Linked DNA regions of Drosophila melanogaster. The protein of the gene in region 1 interacts with the protein of each later gene in a pairwise test. Each region holds a gene or a part of one and is shown on either strand. Other genes may lie near its edges.

Evidence for each region. The genes of interacting proteins can lie anywhere in the genome.
Region 2: the proteins of CG11905 (region 1) and Graf interact in a two-hybrid assay, tested with the Drosophila melanogaster proteins (one large-scale study listed by BioGRID).
Region 3: the proteins of CG11905 (region 1) and CG18259 interact in a two-hybrid assay, tested with the Drosophila melanogaster proteins (one large-scale study listed by BioGRID).

What each region holds. Positions count from the first base shown.
Region 1 is NT_037436.4:16,928,334-16,938,814, reverse strand, and holds CG11905 (uncharacterized protein), read left to right. Parts: upstream 1-3,278; 5' UTR 3,279-3,327; exon of another isoform or gene 3,328-3,509; 5' UTR 3,510-3,606; coding exon 3,607-3,621; intron 3,622-5,454; coding exon 5,455-5,522; intron 5,523-5,803; coding exon 5,804-7,544; 3' UTR 7,545-7,643; downstream 7,644-10,481. Other genes in the region: CG13022 (uncharacterized protein), read left to right, coding at 1-469.
Region 2 is NC_004354.4:15,755,778-15,762,909, reverse strand, and holds the start of Graf (GTPase regulator associated with FAK), read left to right. Parts: upstream 1-2,260; 5' UTR 2,261-2,670; intron 2,671-2,715; exon of another isoform or gene 2,716-2,785; intron 2,786-4,592; 5' UTR 4,593-4,876; coding exon 4,877-5,054; intron 5,055-5,142; coding exon of another isoform or gene 5,143-5,601; intron 5,602-5,684; coding exon of another isoform or gene 5,685-6,516; exon of another isoform or gene 6,517-6,592; intron 6,593-6,673; coding exon 6,674-6,831; intron 6,832-6,917; coding exon 6,918-7,091; intron 7,092-7,132. Other genes in the region: mRpL3 (mitochondrial ribosomal protein L3), read right to left, coding at 315-735, 789-1,312, 1,374-1,479, 1,539-1,576; CG8260 (uncharacterized protein), read right to left, coding at 5,143-5,601, 5,685-6,473. UniProt on the Drosophila melanogaster protein: GTPase-activating protein for Rho family proteins. Essential component of the CLIC (clathrin-independent carrier)/GEEC (GPI-anchored protein-enriched early endocytic compartment) endocytic pathway.
Region 3 is NC_004354.4:18,778,893-18,785,787, reverse strand, and holds CG18259 (uncharacterized protein), read left to right. Parts: upstream 1-2,293; 5' UTR 2,294-2,412; coding exon 2,413-2,492; intron 2,493-2,554; coding exon 2,555-3,075; intron 3,076-3,132; coding exon 3,133-3,874; intron 3,875-3,930; coding exon 3,931-4,012; 3' UTR 4,013-4,523; downstream 4,524-6,895. Other genes in the region: CG6891 (uncharacterized protein), read right to left, coding at 4,594-4,710, 4,784-5,107.

The sequences.
Region 1 (10,481 bases):
GCCTAGTTTTGGGGCATCTTCTCTGGATTCCTTTGGTCCGCTGAACTTTGTGCATCAATCTCTGAGGACAAGACAGAATCCACTTTCCCGGATTTCCTACAATACACAGGATAACCTAGCAGTGGCAACATCTTCGCTGAGTGCGGGCTACCAATTAGCATCGACCAACCACCTGAAGCACCGGCAAAGCCAGCAAAACTTTGATTTCAGCACCGACCAGATGTCGCATGCCCAGCACACCGATGAGGCGGGAAATGTTTTGGGCAAGTACTCCTACTACGATGAGGCTGGCTACCATGAGCTGAGCTACAAGGCGGGCGCCGGCATCGGATTCGTGGTCATGGGTGGCAATTTGGCCAAGGCCACCACCGCCGCTGAACCGCACTCGGAAATCGAAATCGGAAACGGAATCCAAACAAATGCCTTGACTAGCCTGCAAGAGTTGCATAAATATCGTGGCTACACGTAAATAAAATATATTAGCCAAAACTATTGCTCGTTCTACTTGGGTGTTTTGCGTTATTTACTGGAAGTCTTTGGAGATCTGACAGTGTCACCTGTCGTGTTTGAGACCTACGTGATCGGGGATCTGAACTGTAAACATATGTCAAAGAATGAATGACTTGTAAAACAGAGTTCATTCAAAGAAAAGAGTGCAGCTTTGCTTGGTTATAGAATGCAAGCAATAGTCAAATATTATCGAGAGCTCTGGATTTCATAACTTCTACGCGGCACAAAATTATCTTTGGATCGGAAGACATTATATTAACATTTATAAATAATGGTGAAATTAAAAAAAAAATGTACGTAAAAATAGATGTCCAAAAATGTATGAATTCTTTTTGTAATTGTAAATCTTGGAATATAATATTATGCTAAATAGGACGGTAGAAAGAATATTTTTCTTCATTTTAAAAAGAAACATAACTTGAGTTCCATAAAAGCGGTCATCGCATTAATAGAAAATTTTCTTGCCTGGACATAATTTTTAAACGTTTTACAATAAAAATGTTTGCATAAAGTAGATAAGGGTAAACATTGTCAGTTTCTGATCGTAAATGATTGTAAGAGCTTTAATTGCTTGTGGCGCGTGCTTTGGCACGATACAACTGCGGCGATTTATGCATGTTATAAACCCTAATTGATTTTCCGATCATAAAAATGGTTATATTCGGTCGCACAAAGTCATTTTACAAATGGACAGTGCATCCCAAAGCCAAATTGAGTCAGCTCTGTGGCTTATTTATTTTTGTTTGGGCAATTTCATGTCGGAAAGGGACCAAAATAATACAGCATTTGAAATGTTCGACGCGTGCGCGCACTTGCCAAATAATTTGAATCGAACGGAAAGCCTTGGCGTCCACGGCGTGGCCTAAATAAAATATATTTCTGGCCGCGCGAAGCCAAGAAAAGCCCATAAGCAATAATAATATGCATATTTGCTAAAACAAAAAGTTATTACATGGGCCAGTTTTGACCGAAAGTTTCACTGCCACAATTAAGTTTTAATGTCAAGAGATCTAAGCGAGTGATTTCCCTGAAACAAGTTCCTACGCACTCGAAAACTTTCTTCGCCGAATGCACTAAAAGAACGTACAGAAGAGCACTAAAAAGCTTGCCATAGCTTGACATAGATTCTATTCGGCCGGGTCTAGGGTTTGTATGGCTGAAATGGCCACGTTCTCAGCGTAGAAATCAATGGCTCACCTGGGAAGTAGCCGAGGTGCATAATTGGGTTAGCGTAGCAGCAGAACGGCCTGCATTGAAACCACAAATTACTGGGGCTCCGGCTCTCCCAGGTGCCAGTTAGCTGTTTCTGTTTATTTTCCCCCTCATAAACAACGGTTTGGGCTGGGATTCTCCTCCTCGCCGAAGGTCAGACTTAATTGGCCCGGGCCTAGGCAACGACATCCCACTAGCAGTCCCGTTTCGCCTGCATTTATAAATAGGCCCCAAGGTCTCTGGGTCTTGGGTCTTCGGTCTTCGGTCTTCGGTCTTCAACTTCTCGACTCGCTCTTCGGCTGCTTGGATTTCAGTTGGGGTTCGATTTATCGCCTTTTGATTGCTGCATTCCAATTGTGGATCAAGTGGTGCGTGTGGCGCATTCGGGGCTTACAACGTGTTGCTGCTAATTTCGTATGCTCCCTTCGGCTCTGCGCACTCGAAACCATAAATCTTGTGGCAATTTTATTGATGCCTGCGTGTGCCACAAAGGTCGACCCCCCGTTCGATGCTGCTTAATCAAGGAATATGCATTATTTCACAGCGCAGTCAGTAGCTGGCTGCTCGGGGCATAAAAGCCAATAAAAGAATAAATTGCAGTTGTATCACAGCAAAGTTAATCACAAAATTAATGGTTCTGGGCTAATAAAGACTGGTCTGCAATGAAAACAAATGACTTAAGGCACGAACCTGAAATCAATTTCTCTGATTTCAGACATTTGTTATTCATGATTATCGATCAAAAACGGTCCGAAGCTAAGTCTTAATCCTGACATCTGTTGATACCCGAGAAGTGTGTGAAGTCTTCACGCCGAAGTGCTTGTCAAATCAAAAAAAAAAAAAAAGAACATGACTCTTGAGTCACTATGTGCGAAACTTTCTAACGAGTTCCAGGCAAACATTTTAATTGAATTGCCCGGCAACGAATCGATTCTTTCATCACGGTAAGTCTCTTACCATTTTGGCTTATGTCATGTTCTGGGCCCGTTCCGAGCTGATTACCTTTCCACTTCCCACACGCATTTCGCTTCTATTCTCGTGGCTCACTCCACTTGTAATGGCCAGTCACTTCGCTCCTGTCCAGTCACACTCAATCAAGCCAATAAACGGCCAATTAATCAAAGTCAGCGCTGTGATTCTGTGTTCTTGCTAGGTGCGAGTTTGCGAAACAGTAGACTGAAGAAGCGACTGTCAGCACATTTAATCAAATGCTTGAGAAATATCTGACAATATGTTAGGCAAACTATTTGCCTAACCCAAGGGATCGGGGAAGATTTCGATCTGCGAAATCCTAGAGTTGTAAGCCTGCATATCAATTGGTGTTGTGTACCCTGGAGCTGGTAACCAAATCCCACAGATCCACGCCCCCAGATAAAAGCCAGGCCAAGGCGCTCGACTACGTGCCCGAATCGCGGTCTTCTCTTCGACTCTCTCTTCTGCCCAAAACCCAGTTCTCTTACACCTGATCGGGCCCTGTTTTCTTGGCCATTTCTTTCGCTTCGTCGTTTGCATCGCTAATGGAAATGTTATAAACAGACGCGCTGGGCCCGGCCAGCACTCAGTTCATCTTCAGACGTCGCCTGGCTCGCTGGCTCTTGGTTCTTGGTAGGAGTTCCATTTCCAGACCCTATTTATTGTGCGTGACAAAAAAAAAGAAAGAAAAACAACGGAACCTGAAACAATCGTAAATTGAAAGCTCAGCAGGATTGGTTTTATAGTGCTTTTAGTGTGTGTGATTTTGCCGCGTGATAACCCAGAGTGCCACTCATTCCCGTTCTCGTTTGCAGTTCAAGGATATATTGTCAAGGCGAGGATTGGTCAACGCCACGAACACCAAGCATTTATTGAAAAATCTGAAACTATTCACCAGAACCTCGCGTTAAAATGCGCTTTCTTGTTGTAAGTCAAATCGCATAAAAAAGAAAATTAAATACCATGAATGACTTAACTTCACATTTTGGGAATACAAAACGAAACTAGTTTATACCTGACCGCAATTAATCATTTATTGCTCTGTGCTGCCGCTGAACTCATTAACTCGTCAACTGGCCCAAGTTCGTGCCTTAAGTCTTTTGTTTCTTTCACTTCTGAATCGACACTAACTTTCACTAAGCGACTTTTTTGATTCTTGGCTTGGTTCTTTCCTTTTTTTGATCGCCTTAATTAGCCTTAATTATGCTCTGTGCCATATGCAAATATTAATAAGAGTGCCTAAAATCTTTTTGGGGTTTATAATAATCACAAATCAATTTGGACGCAAAGAACTATATTGGGGAAACTTTTTTTTATATGAATGCAAAAGGTTAAGACTTCTTTGTGCCAGTTATTGTTCACTTAGTAAAGGTTTTTCAAAAGAGTTAATTCTTTCTGAAAAGTGAAACCCTTTTGTCCATTCCATTTGAACGTGACAATATTCTAGCCCCACCCCAATTTAAAAAGTGAGAATTAATCATTCATACCTAGGAAGTATTGTTCCTTGCATTATTCATATTCCCATTATGAAAAGCATGCCCTTAAAAGTCAAAACTCTACAGCGACTCCCATAAGCAACAATGCCATTCAATTATAACCACAACCAATACAACCACTTGGGTTGAAAAGCCCAAAAAATAATTATGACTCAAAGAACATAAAATTAATATGCCGCAAACGTATAAAAATCATGCGTGGGCTAACAAATGGTAATATAAGTCTTCTTTTCCCCCTCCCAACTATCAAACAATCGGTCACATTTGTGTGGGGTTCTTAACTATAAGTGCACTGGTTTGTTTTCGAGTTTGTGATCGTTTCGATAGTGGTTCATAAATTAATCAATTTATGAGTGTAGACAGTTAGCCACACGTCCCAAGTCCATCAATCCCTGCTCAATTAGCTGCATTGGAATGGCTCTGGAATATCATTTAAGACCAAAAGACACCTGATCGGATGTGAAGATCAGGAGACAGACTCATTTATAACTTGTTTGAGAACATAAAATGCTGCGCTTAAACTTTGCATTCGAGCCATTAACCCAGTTTATTTTTGGACAAGACACACCTGATATGGGGTCGAATCGGCATCGTTATGTGAGGGCAATATAATAAATAAGGCGAAATACACAAAAGAAAGCAGACAGAAATACATCTTACTGCTTGGGGATGCAAGAGTTCTTGCAAATCAATGGCAACCAGGTTCGACAGCCTCTGCGCCAGAATCTCTTCTCTCGAGTTACGTTTCGGCACCGAAATCGTAACAGCCGCCTAGAGGTTCAGGTCAATGACACAACACGAGCCTCGACTTCGAATCCAGCTTTGGTTTTGGCTTTTGGTCTCAGTTCCTCTCGGCTTTGTGACATTTCGGCGCTGATAGATAGGCGTGCGGGCTGGTCGTTTCCACCGGCTAACGGTTGCGTCAATATTGACTTTGCCAAAGATGTGGAGAGCCGGCGAGAGTGAGTCAAATATTTGCCGATCGTGAGGTTCTTGACAATCGTATTCGAGGGAAAATCCGTCAAGTACATAAGCCGTTCCTTGCCACCTGGCTCTCACTTTTCGGCGTAGCTTTCAGCAGCGAAAGAAATTATGCAAATGTGCTGGAGGAGCAGGGAGAGAGAGACTTTCGCGACTTTCGGGACTTGACCGCATTCCACACGTGTGAATTTTGTATCCATTACGACATCAGAATACAGACACCCTATCTAACCGGCATAAATCATAGATCTCATTCATCTATTGTCACACATTTGTCTTTCAGCTCTCAACACTGCTTCTGGCCTCTTTGGCACTTGGCCAGGCTCAACAGCACGGTGGACTGGCCGTCGAGTAAGTAGACTAGTAGCTAGTTACCCAGCCCTAAGACCCCAAATAACCATGAAATGCCTTGCCTGCCAAATGTGACTGTGTCAACGCTAATGCTCATTCCAAGTAGAAGTTGATGCGCTTGCCTAGAACTATGTGACTAAACCGAAAAAAGCCCAGACTTGTGACTAACCCTCAAAACTCATTTCCCTCCACCCAACAACACATTACCCTGCATTAGCAACTAGAAGCTAACTCCACCAACAGATAGAGACCACCAAACAAACCCCACCTTTCGTTTGCAGAATTCAGAAGCAGCGGCTGGTCAAATTTCCCGAGGACTTTGAGCCCAATGCGGCCACTCCGTCCTCGGAAAAGGCGGACGAGGCCAAGCGCATCCTCGAGCAGATAGCCAAGGTTAACGAGGCCTTTGGCTACGTGAAGAAGCAGCCGGAGCAGCCCAAGCTGCCACCGATCCTTGATTCCAGTCAATACCTGTTCCCCAAGCCCGCCCATCAGCCATTTCACGCCCATCAGCACCACTTCTCGGGAAGTAATGGTCAGACCTTGTTAGAACCCTCAATTAGGGCGGTGAAACTCACAAGAAATGTGGCGGGCAGTTACAATGTGCCTCCCAGGTTGCGCCAGGCAATTGAGAGCACCTCCAAGGAGGAGAAGAAAGCGCAACTCTACTTCCGACCCAAACAGGTGGAGGTACCGAAGCCGAGTTCCGAACAAGAAGCACAGCAGCTGCCCGCCCACTTTGTGGTGCCCGTGCACCTGTACAAACTCAATAAGGAGGAGTATCTCAAGGAGCACGCCTCGCAGGAATACAAGATAAAGGGATACAAAATCATTGGCGATGTGGACAGCTTCTATGGCAAGGCGAAGGCTGGAAGAAAACAGGGCAAGACGACGCCCAAGTATCACCTGTTCTTCCTGCCCCGAGAACTGGCTCTCAATGAAGATGGCACCCCAAAAAGGGGTAATTCCACCACCATTGGTACGACCACCACAAAGGCTCCAGTGCCTGTGAACTTCAAGGAATATCGTTTGGACTCCCGCGAGAAGCCCGTGCATAAGCCACAGAAGATTCAGCCCACTTCGTCACCGGAATTAAATTCTTTGAACAGAAAGAAGGTTGGTTCCACAGCGAAACCCGTTCGCTTGAGTGGAAAGGATGCTGAACAGCAAATCTACCAGGGATCCACATCCCTTAATATCAAGGCTACATCTGCGCCTGTCCTGTTGAGTTCTACTTTACCACCATCTGGTGGCTTGCTGCCCAATCGGAATCGCTTAAGTCCATTCCGCATGCCCGGAATGAATATAGCTGAGATGCAGAATCAGACCTCGACTGCCATCAAGAATGCCTTTCAAAACATTTTCAAGCTCCCCTTCCGACCTCCAATGGCGGCCACAGCTGGAGAAGGTCCTGTGGTTGTTGGCAATGTTCCTGTGAAGAATCACTCAATCGATTCGATGGATTATAAATGGGAGGATGAAAACGAGGGCGCCGGCGATGGGATGGCCGATGATGTGGATACCATTGAGAACACAGCCGCGGAACTGGACAACAGTGCCTCCTCAGAGAAGCACTTGTTTGCTCACAAGGGCCATCACCTGATGCACACTGTGAGCCAGGTGGCCACCGCTCAGGAAAGCACCCAAAAGCAGGCATTGCGCGAAGGAGGAATCATCATTCAGCGGCTAAAGGTTCGCAGGGGCGGCATCGCTATCGCAGGACCCGGGGGCGTGGCCACGGCGGGCAGCGGAGGAACGGCGATTGTTGGTCCCGGTGGCTATGCTCTCACCCATCCACGGAGTCTCACCATCGCCGGTCCCGGGGCCAAGGTGATCTCCATACCGGCAGATGTGGACCTTAAAGATGCCCTGGCACGCACCGATCTGGAGACGAGAAGTTTTCCGCGAGAGGGAAAGATAGTGGCTACAGGACCAACGGTCTACTATGCTCCACCCACGGGCACAACAACCATGGAGGCGGATCAGGGGGCGGGGCTGGAGACGGGCCAGTTCGAGTCCTAATCCAGTTCGAGGCTTAAACCTAATAGCTATTATTTAGCACATTTAGTTAGGATCCATAGTTGGTATTGTCTAGTGTTCTAATAAATATTTGTATTTCGTAATTGTTTGGGCTTTTGCTTTCATCTTGTACATAGTAGTTTTAGATATCACACTTATTCCGCATGATATTAACCCGACACAGTTTAACCCCTCGAATTATTGCTGTAAATAATATACGACTAACCGGCGGTTCTCTTCACCATTTTCCTCTATCCCACTCTTCCTAAACCAAAAACTATCCTAACTCAAGTGCCTACTGGCGCACAACCAATATCGAGGCCTGGCCACCAGGAGCACCCGTCGCAGAGAAGTCCGGAAAACTCATTGCAGGATCTGCTCCGGCCCAGGACCTCACGCCCTATGGAGCCTATCAACCCGTGCTGTTCAGTGCCCCATACTACGCCGCCTACAATCTGCCCCTGGCCTATGTGGTGCAACCCACCATCGCCAGTGCCGATCAAGCCACCATAGCCAGTGCAACAACCACAACGACCACTACCACAACTGGCCGACCCGAAAGCTTAGCTGATGACAGCTCCAGCGAGTTGGAGAAACCAGAAAAGCTACAGGCTCTGCCTGCAGTGAAGACCCGAACCACTGGGGATCTGAAGAGTGATGTGGGTCTCCGCTCAGCGGTCAGCAAAATAAACCCCGAGTATGTGATCGAAGAGATCGTTCCGGTGCCGGGCAAGCTAGTGATCTCCACTTCTGGGTCACCCCGCTCCGCCAAGCAGCAGTTGAAGAAGGCGATTGCCCCACAAAAAATGAGAAAGCAGGCGGGTGGAAGAGTTCCCTTGAAGGTTGAGGCCACCGGAAAGACCAGCACGAGTTCCGGCAACTTTCCGCAGATCCCATTTGGAAACTACTTCCTGCCCTATAGACCGGAGCAGGCTCAGGCGATCCAGGGACGCAAGCAGGCTGCACTCATCCTGGAACCTCATTCCAAAGCGGTGGTTGGTAATGGTGGCACTGCCATATCCACGCCCATTTCCAAGGCGTATCTGAAGAAGGGTGTACCCACCAACGTTTACTTCAATCCGGAATCTGTGGCCATAGCAGGTGTGGGTGGCAAGGCGCATGCTACGGCGGATTTGGAATTGGATCTGTTCACGTAAAGGAGCAAGGATTTAACTTAAAGCTCACTTTCATTAACTGATTACTTGGCATTATTTTGAAAGTCAATTGACACAGTACGCAAAACACGCAAAGACAATTTTCCTATGAAATCAGTTGCTGAAAATGGGCTCTATGTAGTAGGTTACCCAACAGAATCTAATTGGTAGTTCCTCCTCCCAACTGACCTATGTTCCTATGTTAAGAACATAGGCCTATCTGATGTGTCATTTCTTAGATTGTAAATAAAGTAAACCGTAAACTGTACAGCTTTCGCCTTGGGTCATATAGTAGTCCGCTAATCCCATGTAGATACTTCTACGCTTCTCTTAATCCCCGCTTTCTCCAGGCAACTCCCAAACACAACCAACACACACACTCTCTATAACCAAATCTAACCCCGAAAAGCAGACACAGATCGAGGTCGGCTCCGCTGGTCTTCGAGGAGCATCCTTACTACGGAGGATTGAGGGGTCAGCTTCTCCAGCTGCGTCCGCAGCGGGACGGCAGTGTGGGCAGCTTCATCCTGCAGCGCCAACAGCCGCAGTTGAGGGCTGTACCTAGAGACTCCGATGACACCATCACCATTTCGGCCGCAAGCATCTCGGCGGTAGCTGATGCTAGTGGAGCTTCTAGCTCCAGCAGCTCGATCTCAGCCAGCGCCAGTGATTTCAATCGGATTCAGTCGGCCGCCGCTCGGTTGGTTGCCATTCAGGAGTTGGCCAAGCGCAAGGGTTCCTTCAGTGAGGAGGACAACAAGATCTATGCCAGCAGCTTACTGGAACTGGGCCAGGCTGCCCAGAGTTTGGCCATGCTCCAGCAAAGCGGACAGATTAAGGACTTTAGTGTTCTGCTGCAGCCGGACATGTTTGGCAATCCTCAAAAGCAGCCAGCCAATTTCGGGCTAGAGGCCACCAACAATCCGGCGGACCAGAAGATCGACGAACAGAAACTGGACGAGGTCACTGAGCAACAATTCTCGCCGGATGAGCAGTTCCTGCCCCCCAACAACGAGGATCCCTATGAGGATGTTAACGATAGTGTGTCCGTAATGGCTCCTAAGAAAGATGCCGCCGTGGCTGAGGCAAAACCAGTGGGTAAGTTCTCTGAAGGAGAGGCTTCTCTTAATTTACTTCTATTAAACCCTCCAATCACCTTTTAGGTCTTTCGATTGCCGGTGAAGGTGGCGTGGCCTCCTCAAAACCGAACGCTGTGGCTCTCTCCGGCCGGAATGGATTGGCCGTAGCTTCGCCCAAGGCCACAGCCATTGCTGGAGTTTCTCCCGAGGAGGCAGCTGCCTTCAGCATTTCATTGCCCACTCGCAATCAACTGGTGATCAAGAGTCCCAATTTGGCTTCGGAGAAGGCTAGCGAAGACTATGACTATAATGATGTACCGCTGACGGTTGCCCGCTTTCCTCTGACCCGGGAAACTCCTCAGCAATTGGTCCCGGTTCGCATCTCTGGAGGGGATTCCCTTGTGGAAAGGTGGCGCACCGCCATCGCAGAGGATTATGCAGCCAGGCAGGCGCTGACCAAGGTGGCCATGCCGCATCCCACACCCTTCATCCGCATGGCTCCCAAACTGCGTCTTCACTCCGAATAGAAAAAGTGCTGTAGGATTGGATGAACGAGATTAAAATTGGATTGGACTTGATCGCAATGAGATTCATACTTTACTTTAAGCAACATATTGTGTGCCAGCTCCCAGATTGCCAATAAAATATGTCTATTTAAATAAATGAATTAATCTGAGATTCTTATTAAAGATCTATACAGGTCAATT
Region 2 (7,132 bases), on another chromosome or scaffold:
GCGTGGCGGAACAACGGATTGGAGCCGCTTTACGCCAATAAGAATAATAACTGCACAGAGGGGCATTCAAAAATCCAATAGGTTTTATTTTAAATGAGCTTCCCCTTAAAAAGAAGCTCATTAAAATTCCTATATGAATATAATGAAACAAATAAGAAACCTAACCATCTGAGGTCTTATTCGATTTAGGTTTGAATAAAACCTCTTAAATAAGTTACAACCAACTTTTAAAACTACTCTGCATATATAAAATTAGTTATTTCTTTTATTTCAAAACAAACAATTAGGTTTCTATAATACCTTAAGCACTAAAGTTATTCGTTTTCATACGTTATTGACTCGCTTTTGAAGTTGTGCACCTGTTCGTACCACACATCATCCCCATCTTGCTGCGGCTCGCCGTAAAACGTTGGGAACGGTGGGGCTTCCTTATTCTTTCGCGTTGGCAAGATGGTATCGTATATGTAGACCAGACCGCCGGTGGGGCCGGCCACCGAGCTCCCTTGCACCCACATAACATTATATTTGGTGTTAATGCGCCACACGCGCAGACCCTTGATGATGCGCCACCGGTTTCCCATGTGTCCCGGCATCTTTGTGCCTGGCCAGACGCGACCCTTCTCGCCACCACCGCCAATGTTGCCGGCACGTCGATGAGTTTTCGTCACACCGTGCGATGCTGGCATGCCCTTAAATCCGTGTCGCTTGACAACACCTTGGAAGCCATGGTCAACTCTGCAAAATATAAGTAGAGTACGTATAACCAGCGCTTAGACGTATGTACTTACGTTTTGCCGCGAACATCGACGAAGTCACCAACGCGAAAGTGGTTGACATTTAGTGGAGTGCCTGGCGCCAGTTGGGCTTCTGGAGAGACGATGAATCGGGCCAGGTTCTTCTTGGGGAGCACACCCGAGTTGCGGAATATGCCCGCGTACTCTTTGGTCAACAGAGCTGGGTTCGTGGTCTCGGAGCCAACGAGAATGCAGCCGCGCTTGTGCAGGTTGGCTACCGTGGGAACTTGGGCAGGTAAATACTCTTCCGGGGGAATGTATTTAATGACATGATTGTCGACGATTTGCAGCAGCGTGGTGCGAATCCGCTCGCCATTCTTTAGCCACAGCGGGTACTGGCCAATTTTGCGCGCTATAACGCCGCATCTTCGCAAATTCGGAGTCCACACAGCCTCATTGGCGGTTGGGCCCGCGGTCTTGACCAAACTATCCTTAATAACTGCCGGAACGCCAAAGTTATTGGTGCCCACTTCGTTGACGAACTGCTTGTTCTCCGCCGTCATCAAATCGTTGTATTTCTGTTGCAATAAAACGCAAATGAGTAGTTTGTTTATAGATAAAAAGATATATGTCACATACTGTAATTTCCTTGCGCAGAAACCATTGGGGATTCCGCAGTCGAGGTCTGCTCAAATGGCCCTTATCGCGCACCTGCGTAACCAAAACACTGCTATTTCCACTGAGCCTGAATGGAGAAACCAGAATTTACTAAATGGCCACTATAGCAACGATAAGTGTACCCACCGGAGACCCAGTAATTGATTAATAACGCTCCGCATCATACTTATATAATATAATTTAACAAAGCATAAAAGCGAGCCGGTGCAGAATAACCAAAAGAGCTGTCAAAACATCGGCCACAGTATCGATATCAGCGATATTTGGGGCACGGCTGCTTGACCATCGATTATTTCTGGTCAATTTCGATTCCACATGCTCTTATAATTGGAGTAGTGGAAACATGATGTGATTATTATCGCAACTATGTAAATCAGAAATTGTAGTTTTTAATAAATTTGTAACATTTGTAATACATTTTGGTAATGAATTCACCCCTCTCTATGTAACGACGCGCAATGTTGTTCATTGACAAAATAGATGATTCACAATTCGTGCTAAGCTATGCATGCTGCAAACTTTAGACGCTTAATAAACATTTGATATCTATCAAAGAAGTTTTAGCGCTTTCATTTTGTTTCCCAATCATTTCTGTCAATTAAAGTTAGAGAATGGGAGAGAGTAATGCGTTGAAATGCGAACAAGTAAGTAACAGGTGGTTGTTGGAACGCATGAGAAGTAGATGGCACGGCAAAAGCTTATGGACACTCCTGCAAATGTTAGTGTCGCGGTGGAGACAGGGTATTTGATGCGCTTAACAGCACAGTTAATATACTTAACAGCACGTTCAGATAACTTGTGTATTTTTATCAGACCTACATTAATTTTTTTTTCTAATCGGAGATTTAACAGTCAAAGTAATATATATATATTGTGGTGCATTTAGAATACAATGAAACGAAATATGCAATTGATGCTGAATAATATCGCGTAATTGATGCGAAACGCGCGACACGACACGGCCAATTTGCGTTCTTCGATCAGAGCAACATTAGATATTGGGAAATTACTCATACACTAATGTTTACTCTGTGAGTAATTTTAACACGGGCACAAATGTGTGTGCGGTTGCGGTACGCGAAAAACTACCGACGGTTGCCTTTCGTAACTAAGAGCATTTATTTTTGTATAAGTGAATTCCAATGGGCTAAAGTCATATGAAAAGCGTCTAAACATGAGCCCCTCGACGATTCGTTTATAAGGATTTGATTTATTTATTTATTTGTGATTCCATTGCATTGCGTATGTATGTGTGCTGGTGTGTATCTACGTATATGTATGCTGATATATATATATTATTTAGTTTTTTAAACAACTACATGCATGCGAAATAAACAAAGGATTTGGTGCTGCAGTTGAATTTCATCCCAGGGGTATGTCCGATATCGAAATTATGGTGTTAGTGGCCTCGCAACCTGTTTTAAGATCGAATGTTTACATATGTACATCGAAATTTAACAAGTTTATGCAAAAAAAAAGAGGAAACGATAAAAACTCTCGCCCACCCCTCCCTTCAACACATTCTTATGCACATAGTGTTGTAAAGTGCGCATATGAGTTATTTATCAGTAAGCGAACATAAACTAAAGTTATTTTTAAATAACAAATGTACACAACATACAAATACAGGCGGTGCACATCTGTATGTATGCAAGTATGCAAGTATGCCTGTACATACCTAGCTTCATGCAACAATTTTAAGCGGGCTTAACTGTAAAAAAAAACCGATAAGATAATTTAAAACGGAATGTTTAACTGTTTTTTAAGCCCCAAAAATCCACCATAAGTTCGTATTCAACAGGTATTAAGGTATATCTAGCGAAAATACATAGCAACAGCTGTGTTTTTACTCGTTGCGCATTCCATCAGTGGAAACTCGCCAACAAAATTTCCCATGATCTTGAATTGCACTATCTGAACTCGGCTTTAAATAAATACATATATATTGCATTATTTCAATGCCTAACATTTTCATATATATAACTATCTCTTAGGCTTATAAAGTTATCAAGGATTTTTAAAGTTGTTGTAGTCAAAGAAAGTGAAAACAGGTGATTAACTGGTTATCAGTAATCAATGGTCCTATGAGCCGGATAAAAGTACTTTGCGAATTTGAATGGAAAGACTATTATTGCGTAAAGGGGATATGTTTTGTGAATTGTTTTAGTTAGGGTGTATATACATTTATCTGCGTCATTGTTTCCTTGATAACTTGGGCCTGGAATCCACTAAAATTTGTTTAAAATATATATTGATTAGGCGATTATTTCTGAGAATTCTCCGTGCCTGCGCCTATCTATCTTAAGATCTGATAAGAAAAACATATACAACAATGACAATGTAGTAAACAGGCGTCTGTAAGCAACTTTATGATTTAAATACACCCATAAATAAATGGCATTCAAAGTGTATTTTCCAAGTGGCTGACTTTCGCAATTTTTATTGAACATGATTTTCAATTGCAAAGTCGGTTTTGCATTTATGTAATGGCGACGACTTATCAGCCTGTGGCTGGTTTCACTGTAATAGGAAAGTGTTCGCAAGTGTATTTAAACTTGTTTTTGGTAAACGCTTGTACATATGTATATGTTTGCAAAAGATAAGAAATTTACTAGAGTGTGGGTCTTGCTCGGTACACAGACGATAAGAAATTAACAATAGTCCGTTCTTGATGAAAGTTAGTCGTTGACTGCCCACTTTTTATCGTGGCACTGTGTTTCAATTTATCTTTTTATATAATCTCATCAGTTTGCTTTTCGGATCTGCTCTTATTTTCGGAATTTCACAGTTTAAAGTTTATCGAATGTGGGGAACCGACCTTAAATCAAAATCACAATTGCCAGAGCTCTGCGCGATCAAAACGAATAAATATAATACATAATGGACTTCACTTGCTAATTATTGGTCAATTTAGGCTATAAATTCATATTCCGGTGATTGCGATGTACTCAAAATATCGTTTTTAAACCACACAAAGCAATGGGTTCTCTAAAAGAGAGAATGCAAGTTCTTTAATACAGAGTTGATAAGAATCGAGTGAATCATGTTTCTTCATGCTAGAACAAAATATTTTCTCAAAGTAACTTAGCGTATTCTTGGCCGCTCAGCCGCAATGCAAGTTTTGCGCAATTAACTCTACTTGTTGTTTAAAAAGATATCTTATATCAGTTGTCTTTGCAGGAAGGATTACCAATATGCATAATCCACCAACTGATAAACAGTATTTGCATTGAATAGTAAATATATAAAAGGAGCGCAATTCCAGCTGTAAATGTTGCAAACACCGCAGTTTTCTCGAAACTCAACCGACAAATCTACACAATATATCACAATATATCAGTCACTGCGAATGCACTTAGCTCTGTGGAAAGCAACATCGAAAGAACCTAAATAAAACTGAAACTTAAACTGAAAATCACAGCAAATATTCAAATTCAATATTATTAAAAGCAAACGCAAACATCATGGGCGGCGGCAAAAATGTACGCCGCGGCTTGGAGCCTCTGGAGTTCGAAGAATGCATCGTCGACAGTCCGGACTTTCGCGAAAATTTAAATCGACATGAAAAGGAACTGGACCACACTAGTCATCAAATAAAACGAATTATCAAAGAGGTCAAAGATCTTATGAGTGCGGCAAAGAGTAAGTAGTACAATCCATTTACCGGAGGGCGTAAAACGTGTGTCTGTTTATTAAAGTATACAAAAAATGATTTATAAATAATGCCTATTCACATATGCTTCCACATATCTTCTTGTCCTTCTGATTCCCGATCCCTGGTATGCTTGAAACACGTATTGAATTCGGGTCCAATCGACAGGCGTTTTAGGTACTCTTGATATTCGTTTAGCGTTATGAAACGCATATTTGGACACAGCTGTGTCACCTTCCGATGGTAGTCACAGGTATGATCCTGTACCCAATGGCGTGGCTCCATTAGCTCCACCTCCGTGAACTCCACATGCGTATCGAGTACACTCGGATTGTTGCGCACGGTTAAGAGCAAACTGCTGTTAAACACCGAGTCCCGCAGAAGTGTGATGACATCGGGCGACTTGCTAAACTCCTTTAGAATGTCACTAAATTCGGGCATCTTATGGAGTTCCTCACTCCTGAACTTCTTTAGCATGAGGGGCGGCAGGAAGCTGAAGCGAATTTGACTTAAAACCCTATAGGTGCTCGAACGTCGCTGCGGCCAAAGATGCGCTAGCCACATTAAGGCGGAATATAAAAGCTGTGTATTCATATATCATGGTTATACTTCTACTATACTATAGATATAGAACTTGCCTCCATTTCCGAATTGATTGCCAGAAAGTTGGACTTGAGTATGTAGCAAATTTGTGTTTCGCTGAGGCACAGGAATTCCCGAGTCGATGCGACTGGCAAAATTGAAATGGAAATGCGCCCAGTCAGCTTATCGAATACATCCCACAAGTTGGTGGCGCCTCGTAATTCGAACAATAGGCGAAACGCAGAGATCTCAAAGAATGTTATCCTATCCAGGTTCGCCCAACAGGCCTCGAGCAGCTCGGGAATGTCCAGGAAGTATGCGGCCCTCAAAATTTCGCCCATATCGCACGGATTAACCTCGCCATCACTGGAAATCATCCATAGATATGCGTCGCTGAATCCTTTCGGGCTCAAATCATTCGACTTAAAGACAATATGGTCAACATCTTCCTGCAATATTTTCAGCATTCGCCTTGAGTAAATACTTAGTATGATATTGTGGCAAAGGAAGACGCGATCGTGAACAGTGACTATTATATCCGCACACTCGTAGTTCTGGATGTAAGGCACCAGGTATTCCTCTGGCGGCACTTCGTGGTCTATTTCGACAATCTCGGACTCCGTTGGATCTTCCTTCAGTGTTCGTATACTATTTGCAAAGTTCAGAAATGTCTGTTCCAAGTAGCAAAGCCTTTCGCGTGTCCTAACATTGATGAAATGGACATATGGACATTGGGAATTTATTAGCTTACTTAGGTTGCAAAGGTTCGGGGTCAGGAACAGGATCAGGATCAGGATCAGGATCAGGATCAGGATCAGCATCAGCATCAGGGTTTCTTTTACTCGCCAAAAAGGGCCTCGTTTTATACATGTTTTTTTTTTTTCGTATATCTGTGCTGTATTTATGTGGTGGGAAGTGAGGCAAAGACGTCTAGTTCTAATGAGATTTATGTTATGTTTGATGTTTTCCCTTTTGCTTTCATATTTATTTCAATGGTTTGTCAAATTGCATTTAAATACTTTTTCAGTCCTGTCCACTCGAATGAAACAATTGGCCATTTTACTTAACGATTTTAACTTTGAGTGCATTGGCACTGCTCAGACCGACGATGAGAATGTCATTTGTGAAAGTCTCAAGCGATTTGGTGCTATAATTGGCAATATTGAAGATGAGCGCGAAAAAATGGTAAGTTGGCTTGTCTGATCGGGTCATATAATATTGGTTTCCAAATTAGTGAGAATCTGAACAATCTATTAACAATTACCAACTAGCTAACGCTCGCCGATAAACATATTATTGAGTCACTGGAGGATTTTCGAAAAAAGCAAATCGGTGGCGTCAAAGAAAACAAAAAGAAATTTGATAAAAAGACGGAGAAATTTTGTCAATCGCAGGAGCGTTTCCTCAATATGTCAACTAAAAAGCCCGAAAACACAATACAGGAGGTAAGTTATTTCAAAATTTTTATTTTTTGCAATTGCCATCG
Region 3 (6,895 bases), on another chromosome or scaffold:
CAGCTGGATCCCCTAATCGGTCTTCGGACCTGACCACGGCTCTCCAGAACAACGACCTGAAGTGCATACTCACCAGGATGAATGGCAAGATAAACTTGCTGCTATCCGCATTTGAGACTTAACCGACATAACCGTCACAAGAGAGACCAAGAGCCTAGTTTCTGAACATTCAGCCCTTAACAAGATGATAGAGTTGTACGAAGGGGTCACTAGCGAGCACCGCTTGACGAGCATTGCTACCCAGACTAAAGTACAAAAGCCTACCAAAAACGCTTCTCACAATGCGCAGGTGTCCAAGGGACAAGTGCCCAAAGTTCTGGCGCTCAAACCGCACGACTGGTAGAGGAGAAGGGAAGGCGACATCCAGATCAAACGAGTCCAATACAGGCAGCTACGCATCTGTCGCCAAGAATGCTAGCACGAGTGCATATTGGACCAAGGTGAAGCCTATGCGCCCGCGTAAAAAGCCTGAGGCACGGATCGTGAAGAAGACGGGTGAGGCTTGGTACGCAGAGATGCTCCGGAAACTAAGATCGGACCCGAGCCTTAGCGAACTGGGCAGAAGAATTCGGAGAACTCAGCTAGATGAGCTGTTGCTCGAAGTAGTGGGAAAAGCCTCGGGAAGCTTTCCCAAGTATAAAAGCGATCTAGAGGCGACGGTCAATGATTTGGCATCTGTGCGGCAGCTCAAAGAATAGCACTATCCTGCAGTGGACTGGACGAGGATACGATAGTAGAGGAGCATCAACAGGCCCTTGGGAGTAGAGCTGCACTGTTTTGCAGACGATGCGGCAATTACAGCAGTCGCCAAAACAATTGCAGAGTTGCAGGACAAATGTAACACCACGATTGGAGCTGCCGTCCACTGGAAAGCCGGGCTAGCAATAGCGGCTCGCAAGACCGAAGCAGTAAGTACTAAGCAGCAGGAAAAAGGTGGAGAATATGCTAGTCCTCTGTCAATGCGACACAGGTGACCTCCCAAGAGTCCCTCAAGTACCTGGGTGCTATGATAGAACCACGCGAGTTACGGCAGCAAGAATGCATCAGTCACAGTTTCTTCATTGGCTAGACTGGTGCCCAACATCGGTGGTCCAAGCTATCTGGCCAGGAAACTGGCTTCGCTGCTGTACGCTGCACCAATCTGTAGCAATGCTACAAGCAGGGGTTCATACCTGAAAGGAGCCATGGCCCTCAGGCTCATTAGAGGATTCAGGACAATATGTGAAGACGCGGCACTAACTCTGGCAGGCCGCCAATTGATCGGAGATCAAGGCTCTCGGCCTAAAGCGGGGTGGCGCTTACCGACGAGTGGCTGTTGGGTGAGTGGCAGAACAGGTGGTCTTACCAGCTCATTCCTGAGTCGGCGGTTTGGGCAGAGTGCCAACACAAATGCTTGGACTACCACCTAACCCAGTTTCACACGGACCATGGCTGCATTCGGGCCTATCTACGTCGATTGTTCTGCGTCATTTGTGAGAAAACAGAAGAGCATGTGCTAATGCACTGCTCCAGGTTTGCGATGGAGAGGGAGCAGCTAAAGACGAAGTCAGGTGCTCCGTTCAGCCCTAGTGGCTTGTTCGCAGCTATATTGGCAAAGAGCGAGGCATGGGAGCTGGGACACAGTCTAATCATTAAAATGATTAAACGTGTCCGATCAGACGAGATGGCCAACAGAGAAGGTGGCTAAACCCGAACAGGTGTCCTGTGTGGTGGCGAGTGAAGAATACTACCTGAGCGTTCCCGGCTTGTCGTAAAAAGCGACTAAAGGGTGAAAAGAGGCGCACTCATGGCCTACACTGAAGGAAGAGAGTGTGAAGCCAAATTCTGTTCATCGAAGTCATACAATGGCAGTCCCGGTGAGCGTTCAAGGACTGAAGAGCACACGGAGGTTTTTGTTTTAGTATGTGGTGTTGTTTTTGTTGTTGCGCAGGTATCAGTGTTACCAGACCAGACGTCGGCTAGCACCTAAGCGCGATTGTTCTCGGTTGTGCGAAGGGGCACACTGTGAATTAGTGACTCGTAATGTCAGTGGATAAAACGTATTATGTAGCTTAATATATCATTGACAGTTCTGAGAATTTTCAATCTTCTACAAACTAATGTTAAGACATGCAAAAATTGTTTTTGTAAATGAACAAGTAGTTTAATAGTATTAATCGTATATTTGTATAAGTGTTAGTATATTGCTGTTTCTTTTTTACATTTTATATCCAGAATAACATAGATGTTTTTAAGCGATAGTTGCTATCGATAGTGCTGGACGATAGTTTGCCACCCCAAGTGTCACCAGTGAAACGCCAGTCCTATTTTTTTTTTACGAACGTAGTTCGAATAGTCAGGATAATTTGAATCTGGTTGTTTTTACTTCACACATAGCTTAGGAAAAGGTGTGAAAAGCGTATACTGTGAGCCATGGACATCGATTTGAGTCTGGACGAGATTATAGAGCGGAAGCGCGGGCAACGCGGCTATCGTCCCCTCGACAGAAAGTTGTAAGTACATTTACAGGACAGCCGAAAAAATAGAATGTCACTCAATGCGTTTTCCATTGCAGCAATGCGAACTTCTCCAAGCCGCGCCAGCTGCTGAACAAGCCTTTTTTCAAGCCATCGGGTGCCCGAGGATCTCACTCTGATACGCCGGCAAAGCGCACCTTCGATGCCAGAAACACGATCGCCGCGAAGACACGGGCCAAGATAGCCGATGCCCGGGATCTGATCAACAAGAGCGTGCGCGACTCGGGCATCGATGCCCGCCAGCTGTTGCTGGAGCGAAAGAAGGCCCGTTCGGCGGGCCCAATACTTATTGATGACGAAGAAGAGTCGTTTGAGCCATCACATCGCGCACGCGGAAAGGGAGTGCACATCGGTCAGTTTGGTCACCGCCTTAGCATGTCAAACCATGCGGACGGCACCATTCAGGCGAAATGGGACTCGGACGACGGGGTCGTTGAACTGGGTAACCACATGTTGTCCGGCTTGCGTCGAACCTTTGACCCCAGATCCCATAAGCCGGGCAAACCCTTTGCTCCACGACGCTATATTGATCTTGATAATATGCAGGACCTCGAGGATGGTTAGTTAGTGCCTTTCTCTGCCAAGCCGTTCCTAAAAAGCACTCTTCTACTTTCAGAGGAAATATCTCGCACACTGCACTTAGGGCAAATGAAGCAAGCGTCGCCACGCTACTCAATTGGTGGGCTCGACCTGAACCGCGGCGACGACGTGGAGATGTCCATGGCCCCACTAAATAACAAAATAGATAACAATGCATTCTCCATTTACGAGGCGGCCCGCAATCGCATTGAGCGTCCTTCGCTGACCAACCGACTCGTAGTTGGACGCTCAAATACCACCAAGGAGCCTCTCGAGCGCCGCCACCGCGACACAGCAAGCACAAGTAAACTCCCAGAATCGCTGCGGTCTCGTCTGTTTGTCGGTAAGAGGGATCCTCACATTTCTCATGGCATCTACGCCAACGAGAACCGGAGAAAGGCTGTTGGTGGCGGTGGTGCTAGGGATAGCGATAGCGGTACTGATAGTGATGGTGATGCAGCTGCTCCATCGAAGAACAAGCGCCGTTCGCCATCCCCATTGTCGCTGCGTACGTCGAACACAAAGGATGGATACCGCCTGCTGGTGAGCAATCTGCATACTAACGTGACTACTGCGGATATTCGCGAGCTTTTTAGCGACATCGGCCCAGTGTACGACGCTCGTGTGGTGCGTCCCGGCACCGCCGAAGTTATTTACAAGTCACTGGAACATGCCGAGAAGGCCGTAGATACCTATCACCATCGTCAGTTCGATGACCAGCCCATGCACTGTGTGCTGGTTAATCCGCACTCCTCCCGTCGCTCGGTGCACAAAGCCAGGTGAGTGATATGCTTTAAAGATACCAAGCAGTATTGTTCAACGTTCTCGGCCGTAGCTCTCGCACCGTGACCACAAACTCGTCTGGCGTGGAGGTGGACATCGATGCACTTCACTCGGTACTCTTCAGGGTCCGCTAGGAAGCGAGAGGCAGAGCCCGGGAACTAAAGCAACTAGATAATTTTTCTCATCATTTTCATCATCTCCGTAGTATTTAGTTCAACAACGTAGTCCATTTTCATTTCGCGCTTATTAAATTCGAATCGATCCATCCAGCGTATGTTCAGAAAACCAGACTAGTTTAAACGAGAACATTTCTTTACTATAGAAACTTGAATTTTCTAATGCAAATTCTGGCATATCTGTCCACTTCAGTATTCAGTATTAGGTGGCTAAAATTTTTGTCTTATCATCAAAGTAATTCATCAGTCCCACTATATACACAATTAAATGTATGGCATTGATAATGATTTTGCATCCGCTCTTGAAATTTGGTATTGAAAACTTTTCTTTTACCTTTTTTGAATGACACTATGGATTATGATTATACGATAAATAAGAGGACCCAGTAATGTTACAATTGCTTGTATAATATTTCATAAAATGTACAGTTTTTAAATTTCATAAAATTAATTCATAATAATTAAAGAGAAAGGAGCAGTTTGGTAAGCAGTTAAGAGTTGCAAAAAAAAATGTATATGTAAAGTAACTTGGAGGCCGCTTAGTTATCCCGGATGCCCGTTCCGTAGTTGGCGCCGCCGGCACGGTTCAGTGCTTCACGGAAGAGCTCAATGTCCAGCTCGGCCTCCACTCCCGCCTGAAGTTCCACGGCAAAATTCTGCAAGAGATTAGAGATGAGAGGATCTATTTCTGCCTCTGGGCTCTGGCATCTCTAGCTATTGGCTACTCACGTTGAGGACATCCTTGATCAGCGCCTTGTCCGTGGACATCTTGGCCCTCTGGATGACGCCCACCTCCTGCCCGATCCACGTCAGGAAGATGAACTTTTTGCGCTTGGACATCTCGTCACCCATCTGGATGCGTATGTAGCCAAAGGCGCGCTCCGAGTCGCCGAACTGCTGTCGGAATTCCTCAAAGCACTGACCGCGCGCATGTACAATAATCTGGGCGCCATCGAACTTGAATACCGCCCACTCGGTGTCTGTCAGATCGGAGCGTACATCCTCGTAGGCCTCGCGAATCGAGTCCTTCTCCAGCGACGTGGCCAGCGGCATCTGCGAAAGAGCAAGGGGGAAGAGGATTATAAGCAAGCGAAGAGGGGAACTATAAGCAACTTTCAGACGGAAGTATATATCTTAATCATGTATTCCAAGTCCGAATCGTTTCGCCAAGGCGAATGGATCATCCGCTTTGGCCCATCGATAGCGAAATGTATTGTATGTACTCAATGCGGGGCCAAGTACTCTTGACGGCGCCATCTATGAGTCAGATTTAAGCGGTGCTTTCGCTTTCGATGGTTATATTACATTCAATTCGACTTGTTTCCGTGTCAGGCAACCTCAAGTCGGCCAGGGGAATAGGCACGCCATTGCATCGCCCACTTGCATTACGTTCGGGCAGATTCACGGAAAGCAATTTGTTGCCGCTTTAGTGCTTTATAAACATAATACCAGCGGGCCAGCGGAAAAGTAGCCAATGTAAATATGTACATATTTCGAAGAAAAAATAAAGGCTTTATTATGATAACATACTGGAACATACCCGCATATTAAATTACAGCATTTTTGATAATGATATCAGCACACACATATGAGGGTTCAGGGTTCTGGTTCAAAGCCCAAAAATATGATGATTTAAAAATATCGATATGTAAATGAATTTAAATTGCTTGATAAGTTCGAATGGCTTGATAGTGAAATGTAAAAAACCAAGTCTCAATACGATTTTGGTTAGCTAAAGATTAATTTTAATTGTGGTTTATTAAGTGATCTTTGGGGTAGCATTATGTGCACAAAGTTAGGCTCAGCTTAGATGCGTGGAAAGCGTGTAAAGCGATTGGATCGATGGTTTTTGATACGAGTATACTTGTAGTACGGATCGGAAAACTACCCTTTCACGTAGTGCACTCTTATTGTCTTAAGCGGATCGCCGCATTAAAATCAATTTACGCGTGACAATTTTCAATCAGCAGCCGGCGGAAAGCAGGTCAGAGATTTGATAAGTGACTTGGGGTCGTCGGAACGGGATGACAACAAACAAAGAGAGCCAAATGACTGTTGGTCCAACTGCCAGCCAAATGGATCGGGCTTGGAGTCAGGAACTAGACTCGCGTATAAATAGACATTGAAGCTGGGCCAGAGATACGGATACAGATACAGCTAAAGGTACAAATACAGATACAGATACAGATACCGATGGGAAGATGGAGATAGAGATCGCTCTATAATGCGTTCAATGACCGGAGAGTACGGCGTCTGGTGAGAAAAATCAATTAGAAAAGCGACGACTGTCGAAAATATCAAAAGCCAAACAATTAAACCCAAAGATGTTTCGGGCGACGACTTTCACAACGCGACGCAGTAAGAACTTGGAGTTTGTATGTGTATTCTATGCGTCGCATAGAACTATGGAACAGCTCTGAATCTCCCGTTTCGTGGCTCTGAATTAATTAGTCGGAAGGCAGGCAAAAAAAAAAAAAAAATGAACAAGATGCGGACGCAAACTGTGCCAAAAATGAGCGGACGACTAAGAAACCGTTGCAGCGAATGACCCACCGAAAATACCCGACAAATTTTCCCCCAAACAAGCAAGATAGCAGATACAAATGTATATAGAAATGTCGGTGCTCCTCCTGCAACCTCCACGGGTACGTGAGCCAAATTGTTGGCTAAAATTAGCTGAAATTAAGTTTCCAGCCGATAAGCCCGATAACGTTCGCACATATGTATCTATATACATATATATGCCTATATGGCCATATCTCCACTTCTGACACAATGACAACACGACAAATTAGATCACTCCAGTTGGGCTGGGAGTGCACCCAAAGATCGGATAGGATA